Linked DNA regions of Cricetulus griseus. The main gene of each other region encodes a partner of the protein of the gene in region 2 in a complex. Links are inferred from orthologs where the notes say so. Each region holds a gene or a part of one and is shown on either strand. Other genes may lie near its edges.

Region 1 (10,087 bases), on a different chromosome or scaffold from region 2:
AACCTTTTCTCATGTCAAAGAAATGTTCAGGGGTGGAGAGATGACTCAATAGTTAAGAACACTTCCTGCCCTTCCAGAGAACCAGAGTTCGACTCCAGGGCCCAGCTCACAGCTGCCTGTTACTCCAGATCCAGAAGCTCAGATGTCCTCTTTGGACCTCTGTGGGCACCCATACATCACACACACACACACACGCACGCACGCACGCACGCACGCGCGCGCGCGCGCGCGCGCGCGCACACACACAGAGTTGGGTTAATCCCAGCATTCAGAAGGCAGAGGCAGGTAGATCTCTGTAAGTTTGAGGTCAGCCTGGTTCATAGTAAATCAATGTTGAATTGTTAAAAAAAAGAAGTCTTGTTATGAATAATTGATACAAAGTGGGCCAACATGTAAATTCTTTTTCTTTTTTTTTTTTTTTGAGACAGGGTTTCTTTATAATATAATAGCTATAGCTGTTCTGGAACTCACTTTGTAGACCACGCTGGCCTCAAATTCCCAGAGATCCCAGAGTGCTGGCTGGGATTAAAGGCATATGCCACCACCCGGCCAACATGGGAATTCTTAAACAAACAAACAAACAAAAAACAAAGACACTGGCATGGTCTTTAACAGAAGGACTGCTATTATAGCAAGAAGAAAATTTCAAACTTATATTTACCCAATAATCATGGTTTTTCAATGATACTGAATTCCAACATAATTTTCTCAAGGCCCCTTCTCTCATGCACATCCAGGGAGCTGCGGGTCCTATGAGGAGTCTGACTGTGAAATGAGTGCTCTGCCTTCCGAGGCATCTTACTAGCCTGCCTTTCTCTCCTTCCTCCATACCTCCTTCCCTTTCCTCTCTCTTTCCTTTTTTTTTTTTTTTTGATACAGGATCACATGTAGCATAGGTTGTTCTCCAGCTCCCTATATAGTATAGTAAGGGATGACCTTCAACTTCTGATCCTTCTGCCTCCACGTCCTAAGTGCTGAGATCAAGGACATGCCTCCCACCCCAGCCCTAGTCCTTGCTTCTTAAAATCTTCAATGAATGAGAAAAAGAAAACCCCAACTTTGGCAGTCTTTTTTCTGATGTCTGCTTGAACTGTTTAAATGTTTTGTAATTTTGAGTTAAGGCAATGGTAATTCAGGTGATTTTCCAAACAGGAAATTAATTTTACTTTATAAATGAAGGGACTTTGAAAATGTTGCTCTTTTTAATTTGGCATATCCTCGACAATCCAAATTGCCTTATCAAGCCTACATTTCAAGATTCATCATGTAACAACTAAGTCCTGTGAGTTACCTTCCGAGGCTTTTACCTTAAAGTGTCCCAAGTCCACTGGCTTAATGTGGCAGATATTTGCTGTCAGAGCCAGAGGCTGCAGTGAGGTGTGGCAGCATTTGAGCTCCTGCAGGCTCAGGAAGGGGTGCTTCCTGTCTCTTCCTAGTTTCTGGTGGTTGGCAGCTATGCTGGGGGTACCTTGACTGGGTACTGGACCTCTCCAACCTGAGGCTCGCTGCCAAAGCCCACTCTCCTTGTGTATGTACAAACATGTATGTCCATATTTCTCTGGTCTCACTGGAACACAGTCACCAAGTTTGAGACATAAAACCCCAGCGTGACTCCACCTTCAATAATCACCAGCAAAGACCTTGTCCCAAATAAGGTCACATCCACAGGTCCAGAGCTAGGATGTATGTGTGACTTTGAGGACACAATTCAAACCTCATGCACACAAATGAGGATGCGCAGTTAGCAGAAAAACACCCTGATGATCTCAACCTTATCTGTTAGACACCAGAACGCTGTGTGTTATTTTCGAGGTGGAATATACTATGCTGAATATACTAGGACAGAAACCACCATGGGGCCAGCAACATGAGCAGAATTCTTATGTCTCAGGAGTTTCTCGCATAGCACCTGGCATAAATTGTAATGCACAGTCACCTGTCTCAAATTCTTCCTCCAGGTCAGTCTTCTCTGTCCTGGAGGTTTAAAAGCTCCCTGGCACTTTCCCACCACATACACTGCTTAGTAATTTCTGTGACTCACCATTGGGTGTCAGGAAGTACTTGAGGATAGCTTTCAAACTCTCAGGTCTCAGGCTGCCAACATGAATCCTTGGCCCCGATAATGCTCATTGAACGCATATAGCCATAGGATGCTGTGTCTCTAACAATAACTAGGAGAACCTCCCTTCGGGTTAGGGACATTCACTTTTGCTAGCTGGGACCAAAATGCCCAAGAGAACTGAAGGGAGGAGGGATTTGTTTGGCTTAGTTTCACAGGAGTCAGCCCATCGCAGCTGGGGATATGTGATGGGACAGTTGACATCAACAGAGGCCAGGAAGCAGAGAGAAGGGACTACAAGAAGAGGCAGGGGTGAAAAAGAGCTCCAAGGACATTCCTCCAGTTTCTTCCAGTCATGTCCTACCTCCAACCTCTTTGATCACCTGCCAATAATAACATCAGATAATGAATATATCAAGGGTTTAATTCATTGATTAGTCTGGAGCCTCTAGTATCTAATCATGTCTAGAAACCCACCACAGCCACACCCAGTAGTATACTTTACTAATATCCTAGTGTCTCAGTCTCATCAGGTGGACTAGGCTAACCACATTTCAAAAGTGAAAAGCCTACCTGTTTAACATTCCAATTTACATTATTACGTGATCTAAAGCACAGTGTTCGTGGAGTTAGGGACTTCAGATCAAGAAAGTGCTGACCACCACTCAGCCTGTGCAATGTGCCAGGACTGTTCTACAGGCCATTAGCAGCCAGCTCAATAGCAGTAGCCATAAACACTGGCTCCCATTTTTCATTGAATTTCCACCAAGCTGCACAGAACCTCCTTTCACGGAAGAGAGAAAACCAGCCTCAAACACACGGAACTTAAAGGTTAGGCAAACATTCCTATGCCAGCCAACAGGCAAAGGTCTGGAAGGAGAGGTCTTGGTTGTTTTAATTTGGGGAACAATACTGTGTAAACATAGTCAAGGATGAGTGAAGGTGACAGCCTCTGCCTTGGTTCTGGGTGACTATTCTTTTATGCCAGCAGCTTTAGAGACCACTCTTGCCTCTTTCTAAAGCTAAACTTCCACTTATTAGTTTCTATTTGCTTTTTGTTTGTTTCCTCCATTGAAAGGAAAGACTAAATTCAGACTTAGTTAAAAAGTAAAAACCTAGCCGGGCGTTGGTGGCGCACACCTTTAATCCCAGCACTCGGGAGGCAGAGGCAGGTGGATCTCTGTGAGTTCGAGACCAGCCTGGTCTACAAGAGCTAGTTCCAGGACAGCCTCCAAAGCCACAGAGAAACCCTGTCTCAAAAAACAAAAACAAAAAAACCCCCCAAAAAACAAAAGTAAAAACCAGGACATGGGGACACATGGATATTGTGGATATTGCTTCAAGTGTGGGGCCAGCCTGGGCTAAGTTGTCCAGAACTATATATAGAGAAACTGTCTCAAAATAAACAAAAATTAAAACTAAAGGCATATTTGGAAAATACCTTGAAATGAAGGAAAAGGTAAACACACCTGTAGCCCTGACAAAACCGATACCCATAGATAGTGTCTTAGGGTCAGACAAATGCCTCAGTGCCACAAGAGTGCTGGTGCCAGGAGACAGTGCACCAGGCTACTGTGTGCCTCATAATACCCTTCCCAGGGTCCCACCCTCTCAAAGTCCAAACCTCAAGGTTCTTTAACTGCCTACTCAAGTTAAGGTGCCCAAACCATGCTCCCAGACCAGATCCCCAGATCTGCCTGTCCACATGCCCCTCTCTGACCCATCTGGGTCAGCTCTTTCTCACACAGTTGGACAGACCAAGCTCTTTTGGAACTGCTGCCTGGATTTTAATTGTTCATCTATTAAGGTCACAACTGGATTAACAATCTATTCCTCACTGGACTGCAAACTCTTGGGGAAGTTTCCATAGCACTTTTACAATGATTAGAATCTCCCTGGCTGGACCCTGGCCCCACCCTGTGGCAGGAAAGTAGCAGGTTAACACATTGGGATAACACGAAATGATCACCATGCTTTTACATGGGAGTCCCTCCCTGTAACCAGCACATACCAAGTCAAAGTCTCAAGTCTCAGTTAGGGGCTGGCAACCATGCACACTACCAGTTGTTTATTCTTACCTCGACTGGGTGTGTGGGGGGAGGAGGGGCGGGACAATACCCAGCACATGCATTAGAAACGGCTGGGTGCTGTAGGAGAAACAAAGATGAAAAACACAGCTCCATATCCAAGGCTTATGGTCATAAAGAGGACATATGTTTATAAAAAGCTATAATGCAACCCAAACAGGGATGAGGGAGGGATGGAAAGATACACGAGGCTAGGGGGTCTCCAGAAAAGAGATGCACTCAACCATTTAAAACTCATTATAATCTCAATGCAAAGAAAGGAATTCCAAACCTTGAGGGGCCCACAGCCATGCCCCCAAAGACACTAAATGCAGGCGTGGCCGAGCCTTCATCCCTGCGCTCGGTGCTGCAGTGGGGAGGGGGAGAATCAGTGATAAACCGGCTCCCCCAACCTTGATCTATTTAAATAATCCAATGTAGGGTCAAAGCAGGAGGGAACTTGGAAGAGAGGATCACAATGCTTTGCACAGCTAGGAGCACCTACTGGCCAGAGAGTCCAACCCAGCTCCCGACACCCTCCACCCCCATCCTCAAGATTCCAGCCCAGCCTCAAACATCCAGGCGCTCTCAAGTTCTAGCCCGACCTTGACACTCCAAGAATCTCAGGATCCCAGCAGCTGACACCCCGGGATTCTCAGTATCTCCACCTGACCCCTGAGACCTAGATTCTCAGAATCCCAAGATTACTAGGATCCCAGCCCAGCCATAAACATCCCAAGATTCTCAGTATCTTCACCTGGCCCCTGACACCGCGAGGTTCTTAGGATCCCAGTCCAGTCCCAACATCTCGATATTCTAAACACCGGCTCTGGATACCCTAACCCCAGCCACAAACATTCCGGGATCCCAAGGCCTGCCCCCCTACACACATACCCACGAACCAGCGCGATTTACCGTAAGTCTCGGACATGGCGGTCTGCGCCATTCTGTCGCTACAGTTCCGCGTGGTCCGGTCAGTCCTCTGGTGTCCGCAGAGCGAGGGGGAACCGAGCGTGGAGGGCCGGGTACAGGCCCACTGCGAGCCGGCCACCGGCTGCGGCCCAGCGGGACTCGGCTCCGCGCCTGCGCACCGCCGCCCCGCTGAGGAGCCAGGCCGGGGTGGGGGGAGGCGGGGTCGCTGGAGGGAGGAGGAGCAGGGCTGGGGAAGGGGTGGAGGGACAGGGAGAGAACTGGTGAGAGGCTCCTACTCCAAGGAGGAGGTGAAGCGAAGGAAGATGAAGGAGGGGGACCAGGAAGGAAGGAGGGGCGGGGCTCGGGTGGGGTGCCTGCACCCGGTAGGTCCTCCCAGATGGCATTGCAACACAGACTCAGTCATCCTTAAGTATGACCTAGCAAGCCAGGGGTGGACCGGGGGCTTGCTTTGAAGGAAAACGGGGTGGGGGGAGGGGGTGGGGGGTGGGAGGTTGGTTCACCAGCTGAAAGCCAAGCTCTTACCCCAGGCAAGAGTAATTGGTCACCTGAACTCCCCGACTCAAGACTTTCAGGGAACTGTGCATTGGAGATTGGGGCACAATGTTGCCTGGCCCTTACTGCAGGCTAATTTCAAAGGTGTGTTCGGCTTAGGAAACAATGCAGGACAGAACCTGCTCCTATCCCAAAGAAAGGGGTCCGGGACAATTACTGAAAGGCAAACTGGGAATTTGGCCCACCTGAGCAAACCAGGCCCTAAGAGCCTACCTTCTTCACAGTAGCAACAGAGGCCTGAATGGTGGAGAAGGCCACTGTGTACCTTTTCATCCTAGGCCATCTGGCTCTGCCACGAATCTATCACCTGCTCCGTGCTGTCTGGTTCAATATTTCACTCTCGTGTTTTCTCACACAGGAAATTAGGAAAAGAGCCCTCATCCTGAAGACTTGTTGAAGCCTCTTGCTGGCACAGTACGCACAATTTGCAGTTGAGATTGCCTAGCAAGGTATCCCTTGTCTGTAATCTCAGCATTCGGGAGGCATAGGCTGGAGGATTGTTTTGAATTGGAGGGGAAACAAAGATAAAAGAGACACAGCTCAAAAAGAAATGAATAAGTTTTAAAAGTACAAAAATGATTGCTTACACAATTTTGAAATAGAGATATTTCATATAAGAAGTTAAGATAGCAATGAACTGTGCTTATGGCCCCAGTATGTGAGCTTTGAGCTTAGCTTAGTTTCTTTCCCAGATGTAAATCTGTACTATTTCTGAGGACCTCACAAACAAGATTACATTCAAAACACATGTCTTAGTTAGGCATGGTGGCACAGGCCTTTAATTCTAGAACCCAGGAAGCAGAATCAAGCAGATCTCTGAGTTTGAGTCCAGTCTGGTTCACAGAGTGAGTTCTAGGCAAGCCAGGGCTGCTTTGTGAGACTCTGTCTCAAAAACAAACAAACAAACAAAAATGTCTTAACTTTTATGACTTAATATAGTAAAGAATCTTTTGGCCCTTGTGACCTATGTTTTTATCTTGGCCTCTAATCCTATGAAGTGTACCTCAGAAACAACTCTATGACCTAATTTTTTAAAAAGAAAGGGAGGGCATCAAAATTGCCAAGTATGATATCGTGTTTGTAGTTCTATCCCTCAAGAAATGGAGGAAGGAATATTGAGAGTTCAAACCAGCCAATCTTAGCTACATGAGACCCTGTCCTGGTTGGTATTTTTTGTCAACTTGACATGAGCTGGTATCTGAGAAGAAGGCACCACAATTGAGAAAATTATTTCATAAAATTGGTCTGTAGGCAAGCTGGTGGGGCATTTTCTTGATTAGTGGCCCATCCCACTATGGTGCCACCACTGGGCAGGTAGCCTGAGTTCTATAAGAAAACAGGCTGAGCTAGGCATGAGGAACAAGCCAGTAAGCAGCACTCCTCCATGGCTTCTGCTTCAGTTCCTGCCTCCAGTTTCTACCTTAACTTTCTTTGATGACACACTTTGATGTGGAAGTATACTCTGAAATAAACATTTCCTCCTCAAGTTGCTTTTGGTTGTGGTGTTTTATCACAGTAATAGAAAGAAAACTCCAGCTAACCTGCCTCAAAAAACAAAAGCAAGGGCTGGGAGGTGAGCCATTTGGTAAGTGCTTGTCATACAAAGTATGAGGACCTGAGCTGAGATTCTCAGTGTAAAAAGCTGTAACCCTAACACTGGGAAGACAGTGACAGAGACCCACGGGGCCTACTGGTCAGCTATTCTTGTGAAATCAGTAACCTCCAGATTTAGAAATAAACTGTCAGAAAAGAAGGTAGTGATAGAGAAAGATACCCAATATCAACATCTGGCCTCTACATACATGTGCACAGACATACATGTCCACCTGTACACACATACACATACAACAAAACAAAAAAACTAACAAAACAAAACAAAAAAAACAGGGCTGACAGAATGGCCTAGTGAGTAAAGGTACTTGTCACCAAGGCTGATGACCTGGCACCAAAAACATAGAAAGTTCATCCTCTGACTGCAATGCTCACTTATGCAACACAAAATAAATAGTAAGCATACATGTGTACATGCACATACACAATAAATAAATGTATAAAAGAATTAAAATAAAACCAAAATCATAAACATAATATATTATATATAATATTATATATATATATATATGCTATTGTTAAGACACTTGAAGCTGTCTCTCTCTCTTTTTTATTTTTATTTTTGAGACAGGGTCTCATGTAACTAAGGCTGGTCTCCAACTCAGTATGTTACTGAGGGTAACCTTGAACTTCTGCCTCTGCCTCCTGAGTGCTGAGATCAGAGTTTTGTACCACCATGCCTGGTCTATGCAGCTCTGGGGATTGAGTTTAGGCTTCATGTATGCTTAGTAAACACTTTACCAACTGAGCCCCATCTTCAGCCACACTCTTCTCTTTTGAGAACACCCATTCACCCATGTCCTTTTCTTTTCTCTCTCTCTCATTCTTTTAATTTCTATGATTAAAACTTTATTAACCTTAAGGAGGCTGGAGAGATAGCTCAACTATTGTTTTTGTTGTTGTTGGTTTTTCGAGACAGGGTTTCTGTGTGTAGCTTTGGAGCCTATCCTGGCACTCGCTCTGGAGACCAGGCTGGCCTCAAACTCACAGCGATCCGCCTGCCTCTGTCTCCTGAGTGCTGGGATTAAAGGCATGCACCACCAACACCCGGCTGAGAGCCCAACTATGAAGGACACTGGCTGTAGCTAGCAGTGGTACCACATGTCTTTAATCCCAGTACTTGGGAGGCAGAGACAGGCAGATCTCTGAGTTCGAGATAGAGTGTGTATCAAACTCTGTCCTGTCCTGGTCTAAACTGTCCTGGTCTATAGAATTCAAGACAGCTAGGGCTACACAGAGAAACCCTGTCTCGGGAAGAAAAAGAACACTGGCTGCTCTTCCAGAGGATCCAGATTCAATTCCCAGTACCTACTTGACAGCTAGCAACCTTGGGTAACTCCAATCCCAGGGGAATCCAATGTCCCTTTCTAGTCTCCATGGGTATGATATGCACGCGTTCACAGACATATGTGCAGTTAAATACCTATACATGTAAGAGAGAACTAAACAAGCCTTAAAAAGATTTATTATTTTAAAATTTTATGTGTATCCATGTGGGTCCGAATACATACGTGTGCATCACATGCATGCAAGTGCCTCCTTGAAGGCCAGAAGAGGGTATCAGATCCTCTGGAACTGGAGTTACAGAGGGTTTGTGATCCACCTGATGTGGGTGCTGAGAACCAAACCCAGGTCCTTTATAAGAGCAAGTGTTCTTAACCACTGAACCATCTTTCCAGCACCACCCCCTCCCATTTCTCTTAATAAACTACAGTTTTGCTTCATACTGACTTGTTCTAAAATTATTTTTCTGTCCGGGCGTTGGTGGCGCATGCCTTTAATCCCAGCACTCAGGAGGCAGAGGCAGGCGGATCTCTGTGAGTTCGAGGCCAGCTGGGCCTATATAGTGAGAGCCAGGGCTACATAAACAGACCTTATCTTAAAAACAAGCGCGGGCGGGGGCGGGGGCAGGGGGGGAAGCTGGGTGGTGGTAGCCCACACCTTTAATTCCAGCTCTCAGGAGACAGAAGCAGGCAGATCTCGGTGAGTTTGAGGCCAGCCTTGTCTGCAGAGTGAGTTCCAGGACAGGCTCCAAAGCTACATAGAGAAACTCTGTCTCAAAAAACAAAACAAAACAAACAAACAAAAGACCTTCCTTTGATTAGAGGTCTTTGAAAAGAATTCAGGCTACAGCAGTCAGCTGCCTAGAGCTGTGGCTTGCTCCTTGTTGCTGATACTAAAAACAAATGAATATCCTTCCATCACTGCCAGGCCCCGGGTGGGGACCTCCACTGTTCAAATACATTGAGAGTTGTCATTTCCTAGAATTATTTGTATCTAGTTCTTTCAGGACTCTGGTACTTCTTTTCTTGCTTTGTTTTTTGTTGTTATTAGTTTTATTTTTCATACAAAGTCTCACTTTGTAGCTGAGACGGGCAGACTTATTATGTAGTCCAGACAGGCATTGAACTAGCATCTGTCCTTGCATCTAGGTCTTCAAGTGCTGGGATTGAGGTATGTACCATACTGCTGGCCTTCTGCTGCTCTGCCGGCTTAGGCTCTGAGCAAAGCCAACTGCTTCTGATAAAAGCATTCAGAAGAACTGGGGTTCCTGGATCAGGAAGAGGTCAGTGTTACCTGAGATCAGCCCACCTCCTTTAGATCTGAATGTCCTTCCTGTCACACACTGTTGCTGGCCAGGAGGAAGTCACTGGTAATATGCTAATTTGTGTGTCGAAAGAAACTGGACCCAGAAATCTCAGAAACATACTCAGGGTGGCAGGGAAAAGAAAAGTATGCTTTTGGTTGGTCAGAAGGTGACTTCAGTTGTTCACAGGCAGATACAGAAGGTGATCTCAGTTGTCCACAGCCAGTTACAGGTGACCTCAGTTGTTCACAGGTGTTTACAGGTTCAACTCCTGTTCAA
Region 2 (9,587 bases):
AAGGTGGATATGCTGGGCCTGTCTGGAACCGTAGGGCAACAGCATCTAGAGCCTGGGCCTTAGCAAGAGAAGAGGCCTGCCCCAGGAAACTCGGATGCCAGGCTGCCCACCTCCCAGGACAGCCCATGACACCACCAGAGCTGGCAACTGACTGGCACTGGTAATACACTCACAGGTCAGTAAACACCTGCTGACAGAACCCAAAAAGTTCTCCATTACCCTCCCTCTCCAACAGGACTTTCTACCCAGTCAAAGCCCCCAACAGATACTAATGAACAGTTGCCAAAATAGAGATCTTTGCACCAGATGCCATTCTTACCACCAAGATGGATCTTCACCAGAATGTGACAAAAGAATTTCAGCCTATACACCAATAACCAACAGAAGCCATGGCTCAGGGGTAAAGTGCCTAGTGGTCAGTTATTGTCCATTAACTAAATAGCATCACTGAAGAGATTACACAGAGCTGAGCACACCAGGATCTTACAAAGTCATCTGTCAACCCATCTGTTTCTGTAAACCAAAGCACTAAGCTACATAACTTCTCTTTCTGTCCCTATCAGAGTTCAAGTACTTCAGGACTATGGAATGATCTGAGGTTGTGCATCAAATATTTCTCTTTCTCAGTACTCCAAGTAGTAGGAAAACATCTCACCAGTTTCCCAGGTCAGGATGAACCACAGTGAAGGCTAAAATTTATTTCCTGACTCAGAAGTGTCCCATCTGCTGCCGATACTCCACAGAAGCTTCCTGGTCAGATTCCTAAATTGCACTACAGGCCCTTCAATGTGACCTAGAGAGTGGCCATTCTCCCAAACTATAACATCCACCAAAAAGCTGATCACTCCTATCTCATAATCAAGCTCACATTGACAACCCTGCACTTGGAAACTTTACTTCCTTTAACTGGGAGAGGATAACACTGGCAACGTCTCCACTAGTCCCCCTGGGTCCAGACTTCCCTTCATAGTAGCCATCTCCCTAAGTGTCCAGGAGACAGCCCAAGGAGGGAGGTGGTGAAAGGCAACAGCCAAATAGAGTCTTCTTCCAGAGTCCCTACCTGTCTTGGCTACAGGAAGGGGCCCGTGAAGGACTGACCTATAATACTGCATTGAAGACCAAGACCAGTCAGCAGGAAATGGACCAAGAGGTGTCCAGGAGCCATTCTGCCTTGGCCCAACAGAGATGCACTGAGCTGTATCTCAGAAATAAAATGGTAAAGTCCCCTGAAAAGGGAACACACCGTTAAAAAAATAATAATACAGAAAAACCAGCAAACGAATGCCGATTTGTTTTCTGTTCTTGTTCAACTATAGTGGAAACACCTCAAAGTGCACAACAAGAGACTACTGTTCCCACCCCTCACTGTGTGCATCCAGATGCCCACCTAGCTCCTCCTCCCCCTCGGTACCCTGCTGCCTGGTCCCTGACCACTGCTGTCAGTTAGGGCCCCCCTTCTGCTTAGCCAGGGTACACTTCAACTCCCGAAGGTTCTCAGTCAGCACCTCAACCTCGTCCATTCGACCACACTGCTTGGCATCAAAGATGTAAGCCTTGATGTTGTCAATCTGCTGCAGGAGCAGCTCCTCCTCAATGTGCTCCTCAGCCTCTGTGCCACTGTCACTGTCCACCTCAAAGGGGTTGGTGCAGGGGCACTCCTCAAAAGGGTTTCCAGGGGCAGGTGGGCTGGCAGGCCTGGGATGGTCATCCTCATCAAAGGGGTTGGGTGCTGGACTGTTTGGGTCAGTGAAGGGATTCCCTGCCCCTGACTCTCCTGCCTCCTCTTCCTCAGCATCTTCCTCAAAAGGATTGTATTCTCTGGTGACAGGAGCTGAAGGGCCCAGGAAAGCCTCTGCAGCAGCAGGGCTGGTAGCACCCTCTGCAGGGCTGGAGAGGTCTTCATCAAATGGGTTGAGAGAGGTCTTATCACTTTGTTGTGACATGGTGTTCTGCAGGAGTAATTCCTGGCCAAGTGCTGGGGGCCCAGACCATAAGTGGATAGGTGCTAGAGTTGAGCCAGGTGAAAGGGTATTGGGGGCAGTGCTGCCCTGAACTGGGGAGAAGTCCTGATCCAAGGCATAGGCAAGATCACTGTGAGGCCCTCGGTTGGGATCCAACTGGAAGGGTACGACATCTCGGAGATCTAGAGCACGAGTCCGTGTGTGCAGGGATGCTGCCAGGAACTGCTCCTGTTCTCGCTCCAGCTCCCGCCTGCGGAGCATCTGCAGCTGCTCTCGCTGCAGCTCCTCCTCCTCAGCCTGCCTCCGGGACAGTTCAATGGCCTTCTCAGTCTGCTGCTGGTCATACTCATCCTGCAGCTGCCTCAGGTTCTCCTGAAGTGTACGCACCTCATCTGTGCGGCCTGCAGCCTTGGCCTGCCTGATGAAGGACGTGATGTTGTTGATTTGCTGGAGGAGAGGGTCAGGGTTTTCACTCTGCCCCTGACCTTCTGACAGTGGAAGCCAGCCCTCAGCTTTTCGCAAGGGAGCATGGATGCCTCGGAGAGACTTCGCTTCCCCATTGGCTGCAAAACCACTCTGCCTTTCTTCGAGCTTCCTCCGGGACTCCAGAGCAGCCTGCAGAGACAGCACACACCACCAGGGTCACCATGGTCAACAGGCCAGCAGTCCTCCCTTTCTGCCACCCTCCATGGTCCCCACAACACTAAGATAACTCAACTGCTGAAACAAGGTAGTCACAGAAGGGCAGGCTTAGATTTTCAGAAATAAAACATAAGTTCAGGTGATTTCTTCAAACTTAGTTTCACTGGCTATACACTTTTCTTAAACTTTCAAAGACTGCCACCCTTATTAACATAAGGTTAGCATTTCAGATGACACTAAAGTACACAGTGTTCTAAGTTTTCATTTTGTTTTTTTGTGGTACTGGAAATAGAACCCAGGGCCTCAAGCATGCTAAGCAAGCATTCTATCACCGGACTATGAAACAGCACCCTCATTTTTTTTGTAAGTAACACGGCCTCACTATCTAGCCCAGGCTGGTCTGGAATCCAGGCATGTACCACCACACCTGCTGTCTTCTGTTTAACAGTACACATTCCAAGGTCTTTTGGAACTTGCCTGCAAGCCTACCAAAGGGAAAATTGTCAATCCCTGTGGTGGTCTAGGCAGGAGAGCATCAGCAGGAAAAACAACTATTTTTCTAAGGCCATAACAGAAGCCAGCTTGAGAAAGAGACTCAGCAGCAGAGGGCTAGGGTATGACAGCAGGAAGACAATAGCTACTGGGTGCCTGGGTGCCCCGCACCTGTCTCTCCATGGTCCTCTTCTGTTCCAAGTCTTGCTTCCTTTTCTTTTTCAGTTCTTCAAACTGTTCTTTGGTTGGCAATGACATCAAACCCAGTAACTTTTCCTGTAGGAGAGTAATAGACAATTTTACACGTAAGTGGGTTTTTTTTGGGGGGGGAGGAGACATGACAGGGGCTGGGCCTTAAGCCTTATACACTTAAGCTAAGCCACTCCACCCCCTGACAGGAAGGATATTCTTCCTAATTGGCAGACACCTTTCAGATGGACCTGACTTCTCCTTATGAGACGGCCATATCTTATCTCCAGGTATCTCCCAGGACTGTGCCAGTTTTTCCCTGAGGCTGTGTCCCGATCCCATCTACCAACACCCATCTAGACTCCAGCACTCCCGCCACCCACCACCCGCCACCCTTTGTGCTTAATCACCAACCCCAGATCTCTCCCTCGTACTTCATACTGCCCAACATATCACCTTTTAGTAATTTTTGTTGATTCCTTGCTATGTAACCACATTCTTTTTTTTTTTTTTCTTTTTGGTTTTTCAAGACAGGGTTTCTCTGTGTAGCTTTGGAGCCTATCCTGGTACTCGCTCTGGAGACCAGGCTGGTCTGGAACTCACGCCTGCCTCTGCCTCCCGAGTGTTGAGATTAAAAGCGTGCTCCACCAACGCCCGGCTATGTAACCACATTCTACCAATAGAAATATTCCCTCCTGGCCGGGCGTTGGTGGTGCACACCTTTAATCCCAGCACTTGGGAGGCAGAGGCAGACGGATCTCTGTGAGTTTGAGGCCAGCCTGGTCTACAAGAGCTAGTTCCAGGATAGGCTCCAAAGCTACACAGAGAAACCCTGTCTCGAAAAACCAAAAAAAAAAAAAAAAAAACAAAAACAAAAACAAAAAACCCTCCTGGAGGACTTTTAAGCTGGAGGCTTAAGTCATGAAACTTCAAGAAACTGACAAGACTCAGGAAACTCATGAAACTTCTAGGGCTCCTGGCCTTCCTCAGATGATCCGAGCAAGAAACAATGCCAGGGAGAGGAGTCTTCTTAGAGCTCCTTCAACCAAGTCATCTAGGGGCTCCAACAATGCAGGGGACATCAGAGGTAGAAAAATGCAACTCAGATCTAGTCACCTAGGTTTATAGCCTACTCTTGAACCATTAGCCAATGGCCCAGAAAGAGTCCCCAAAAGAAGAAATATAACTTACCACTAATAGCAAAAACTTAGGATTCATCAACTCCCCCAATGAGTGGTTCAACAAAGGAGAGCATACAGAGTCAAAGTAGCATTCCATGGCCAACAAAGCATAGAAGATTCAGTGATTAAAATGATACAAATCGGGGTTGGGGATTTAGCTCAGTGGTAGAGTGCTTGCCTAGCAAGCACAAGGCCCTGGGTTCAGTCCTCAGCTCGGTGGGAGGGGGGGGGGATGACGACACACAAAAAGAATATAAAATGATATAAATTTGTAGGTATGTATGGAAGGGTTGATCTTCCTTGTCTACTTGGATGGGTTTAGAATTGAAACACACCTCTGGGTGTGTCCATAAAGGTCTTTCCAAAAAAAAGTTTCAGGTGGGAAGACCCACTCTGGTGTGGGTGGCACTGTCCTATAAGCTGGGCTCCCAGACTGAATAAAAGGAAAGAGCTAGCTGAGCACCAACATTCATCTGTCTCTGTTTCCTGACTCAGATAAAATGTGACCAGTTTCTTCAAGCTCCTGTCACCATGACCACTTCACCTTGACAGATTTCAAACTGTAGCCCAAATAAAGTCTTCCTTAAGTTCAAAGTATTTTATCACAGCAATGAGAAAAATAATGCAATGAACTAATTATAAATATCGCATATAAAATGTAAATAGAGAAACAGAATTAAGAAAGAAAATATAACAGAATGAAGAACAATTGTATTGGAGACATAGGATTAAAAGCTATTTTAAACACAAGACCTGGGGCTGCAGAAATGGCTCAGGAGTAAAGAGGACCTGAATTTGGTTCCGGCTCCAACATCAGTTACTTCAACTGCCTGTCACTCCAGATCCAAGGGATTTAATGCCCTCTCTGGACTCTGCAGCACTTGCACTTACATGCCTATCAATCCACATGCAGACACACGCATACACAATCAAAAAGAAAATCTAAAATACAAAACACACACACACACACACACACACACACACACACACACACACACACACACACACACACGATAGATAGATACATGGATGGATGGATGGATGGATGGATGGATGGATGGATAAATAGATGGATAGATAGATGGCATGAAGCAGGAGGTAGACTAGCTAGGATGAAGTTATGAGCAGGAATGGAAGGAAAGAGAGTGGGTAATGGGGGTGAGTATATCCAAAATAACTGTATGTATGTATGAAGTTGTCAAAATGTTTAATGATTTTTAAAAAGTATCTTTACTTTTACTTGGGTTTTATCTTTTTCTCCAAATGTGGTATTCATAATTTTAAGGAATAATAATATACCAATAGAAAACAAGCAAGTCACACACTTAATGTCACAAATGACTTTACCTGCACAAATAGTGTAGCTGAATATCTGATCATTCTCTGTAGCCGCAAGGTGTTTGGATGTGGTGAAGGATCCTGGTTCAAGCCCAAGGTTAAGATCTTCTTACTATATTGGAATAAACGTGTCAATGTAATGGTGCTGCCAGCCTCAGCAACAGAGTGAAGTCTCTGGAGCTGCCAGGCTTTCATACCACGAGGATGTGGAACAACACAGAAGAAACTGAAGTGTCCCTCATAGCAAGGCCCATTCCTTACCCTCTGGCTACTCTAACACTGCACTGATGAATGCTTGGTCACAGTAGTAGCAACACAGGAAAGCCTGGCTTCACAAGTGAACACAGGGTATGGCAACTAACAACCCATATTTTCATGACTTGCTGTCACTATCTTAAAATATTCAAGAGTGGAGCCACACAAAGAACCTGTGTTTCTATCAAAGCTTCTCTCTTATAAAATGGAGGTGCTAATCCTGATCTGTCCCACGAGGACAGGCATACAGGTAGTACAGCAGCTAGTTCTTATTTCTTTATTACTAATGAACATCAGAAATCTTTTTCTCTAGTCCCCAGTATGCTAGGGACGCAACCCAGGGCATTGTACATACTAGGAGAATACTCTATTACTGATCTACACACCACCGGTAAGCACTCCAAATCCTTAACAAGAAGTTCCAGAGCTACAGTAGATGAAAAAGTTCCTCCACTGTTTTCACTGTCACCAGGAATCTAGATAAGCCCAAGCTGCTCCCCACCACTCACTGTTTCATCAAAACACCATTTTTGTCCCATTAGCAAGCAGCAAAAACATGATCTAGCAAACTTTACCTTAAAGTGTCTATTAGTTCATACACTTTCTGCACTTCCACTCGAAGGTCATTGGCATGCTCCAGACTGTAGGTTGTTTCCCCAGCACTGAGGAGAAATCATAAATCATGGTGCTAACTGAAGAGCGCAGTGTTTACATCCTCAGACACAGGTGGTTAATTCTAAGGCATTCGAGACTCATGAAGACAATGCAATAATTCCTCAGGATGCAGTAATCAAGCAGAAGTCATTTCAATGTGCAGACACCTCAGGGACAAACCACTGACCAGGCTTCTGAGGACCACCTCTTTTATTTATTTTTTTTTAAAGATTTGTTTTACTATTTTTAGGTATGTGTATGGGTTAGTATATGTGCCTAGTATATGTGTCAGATCCCCTAGAGCTGGAGTTACAGGAGGTTGTGAGGTTATGAGCCATCTGACATAGGTGCTGGGAACCTAACTCTAGTGCTCTGGAAGAACACTCCGTAACTGCTGAGCTATCACTCCAGCCCCCAAAGACCAGCTTTTATACTCATCAACAAAACAAATGCAGCTGAGTTCATTCTGACCCACTTTTCCTGAACAATCCCTCACTTTATCTTATAGGAGGTATAAAGTGACTTAGTAAATGAGCCAATGAAACTACAGGAAAGCCAGAAGTCACTTGGCTTTTCACACTCAGCTACTGCTTAAGAAGAGGAGTAACAATGCAGTGAACAGGAATCCCCAGAGCTATGCCAACTGCCCCACAGACTCTCTCTCACAAACAACTGCTCCAGATAGGAGAAAAGCACCCAGACTTCAAGTCTAACAGAATGAGACTAACTGTCCAGAATGGTGAGCAGTTATCAGAAAAGACCAGAAGCAACTTAATCCAGGACAGCAGCAGCATCTTTTTTTTTTTTTTGGTTTGTTTTGAGACAGGGTTTCTCTGTAGCTTTGGAGCCTGTCCTGGAACTAGCTCTTGTAGACAAGGCTGGTCTCAAACTCACAGAGATCCGCCTGCCTCAGCCTCCAGAGTGCTGGAATTAAAGGCGTGCAGCACCAACGCCCGGCAAGCAGCAGCATCTTTAGCGTTGTAATTATTGAATTTGCAAGCTTGTCACCCAGGCTTGCCAGACTGCTGACTCCAAGTGCCATGATTGTGGCTATTCTTTACCATATTCTTGGTTATAAACTTTTGGATCATGAGAACGGCTCAGCAGCTTTCTCAGCTGTAACCAGCCTCACCACCAGCCACTCAACTCTTCATGGGAGGCAGCTGCAACTTAAATAAGCATTACAAATTTACCATGTATAATGCAGTTCTGGCTGAAAAAAATATATATGGGAGTGTTTTATCATCAGGGGATTCAATACAGTGGCTTTATCATCTTTTCACCACAAAATATGCAAAAAAAAAAAAAATGGAAGTAAAAAGGCAGGCTTTGTATAGCTGGGTGTTGGTGGTGCACACCTTTATTCCCAGCACTCGGGAGGCAGAGGCAGGCAGATCTCTGTGAGTTTGAGGCCAGCCTAGTTTACAGAGCGGGTGCCAGGATAGGCTCCAAAGCTACACAGAGAAACCCTGTCTTGAACAAACAAACAAACAAACAAACAAACAAAAACAAAACAAAACAAAAAAAAAAGAAAAAAAAAACAGGCTTTGTCAGCCAGATATTTGTGGCTCGTGCCTTTAATCCCACAATTCAGGAGGCTAGAGCAGACATATCTCTGTAGTTCAAGGCCAGCATGATCTACAATTAGAGTTCCAGAACAGCCAGGGCTACAAATAAAACCTCTGGATTTGGTTCTTTTTTAAGTGGAACCTTGCTATTCCGAACACCTCAGCTCCAGAGGTCATGCATGTCTCAGCCTCCTAAGTAACTAGGACTAAAGCTCTGTCTTGGTGTCTCATAGAAAAATCTAAGAGCTAACTGAGGCCTGAAACCACTTCCTAGGCCTCCATCACATCAGAGCACTGTCACGGCTAGAGTTAGCCCATTCAATACTTGCTCTCTTGACGATGGGCCATGGGAAAGGCACCATCGTCTCTGTTCACTGCCTCAGTCACAGAGAAGAGTGTGTGGCACAGAACTAGTGCTCGTTCATGAAGCATCTGCTCAATGAAGTAATGTAAGACCCAGGAAAGCTAGTCCCTGGAGGAGAATCAAAAGTTAACCATTTGGAATGTGCTCAGCAATGGCTGTCCCTACTGGCCAAGGAAAGTCACAGAATGTAGGAGAGGCAGCACTAGCCATGGATGCATGAACCCATACTCATACACAAGAGCACACACACACATCATACACAGATGTACCACACACACTAAATAAATAGGTAAGAAACAGGTAGCCACAAGTGTTAGCCAGGCTGTGGAGAAACAAAATTATAAAATGCAAAGACAAAGATAATATCCACACAGTTCTTTGGAACATAATTTTGCAGTTCCTCAAAAAGCTAAATGCAGAGTTACCATAAAACCCAGCATAAGTTATACACCTATGCACACACACACATAGGTTCATATATATACACAATTATGAAAGTACAGACATGTTGGCATATGTCTGTAGTCCCAGTACACGAAGGTAAAGACAGGAAGATCAAATGATCAAAGCCAGAGTCAACTACAGAATGAGTTTAAGACCGGTCTGTACTACATAAGAACTTATCTCAAAAACAAAAAACAAAACAAAACAAAACAAAACAAAACAAAACAAAACAAAAAAACGTGTTATCCACAATAGTTAAAAGTGGGGTTGAGGGGACCAAATAAACACCAATTGACAAATGAATAAACAAATTTCATAAATAAGTCTACAACATTTTAGTACAAGGACAGTAATGTAGTGCATGCTACAACATGGGTGAATGAATGTTGAAAATACTGATGTACACAGAAGTAGCTAGACACAAAAGGTCATATAATCCCACTTATAATGGAATATCACATACTGACAAATTCAGGCAGACCTGTGATTGCTAGGAAAA

What was found.
Region 1: the proteins of Rbsn (region 2) and Rab4a are in contact, whole or in part, in a crystal structure (PDB 1Z0K), measured with the Homo sapiens proteins. The link is inferred for Cricetulus griseus from reciprocal best matches to the Homo sapiens genes RBSN and RAB4A. Residues at the interface, in NP_001289307.1 of Homo sapiens: Glu441, Gly442, Trp443, Leu444, Pro445, Ser447, Glu454, Pro458, Leu459, Gln461, Gln462, Asn465, Ile466, Phe469, Asp480, Glu481, Thr484, Leu485, Asn488, Leu492, Glu495, Gln499; in NP_004569.2 of Homo sapiens: Tyr10, Leu30, His31, Ile34, Glu35, Ile46, Gly47, Val48, Glu49, Phe50, Gly51, Ser52, Lys53, Lys63, Gln65, Trp67, Arg74, Phe75, Ser77, Val78, Ser81, Tyr82.

Annotation. Positions count from the first base shown.
Region 1 is NC_048596.1:200,483,266-200,493,352, reverse strand, and holds the start of Rab4a (ras-related protein Rab-4A), read right to left. Parts: upstream 5,370-10,087; 5' UTR 5,072-5,369; coding exon of another isoform or gene 5,041-5,071; intron 4,207-5,040; 5' UTR 4,187-4,206; coding exon 4,138-4,186; intron 1-4,137. UniProt on the Homo sapiens protein: The small GTPases Rab are key regulators of intracellular membrane trafficking, from the formation of transport vesicles to their fusion with membranes.
Region 2 is NC_048601.1:51,601,753-51,611,339, reverse strand, and holds part of Rbsn (rabenosyn-5), read right to left. Parts: intron 6,721-9,587; coding exon 6,634-6,720; intron 5,916-6,633; coding exon 5,813-5,915; intron 3,372-5,812; coding exon 3,267-3,371; intron 2,577-3,266; coding exon 1,440-2,576; 3' UTR 1-1,439. UniProt on the Homo sapiens protein: Rab4/Rab5 effector protein acting in early endocytic membrane fusion and membrane trafficking of recycling endosomes. Required for endosome fusion either homotypically or with clathrin coated vesicles.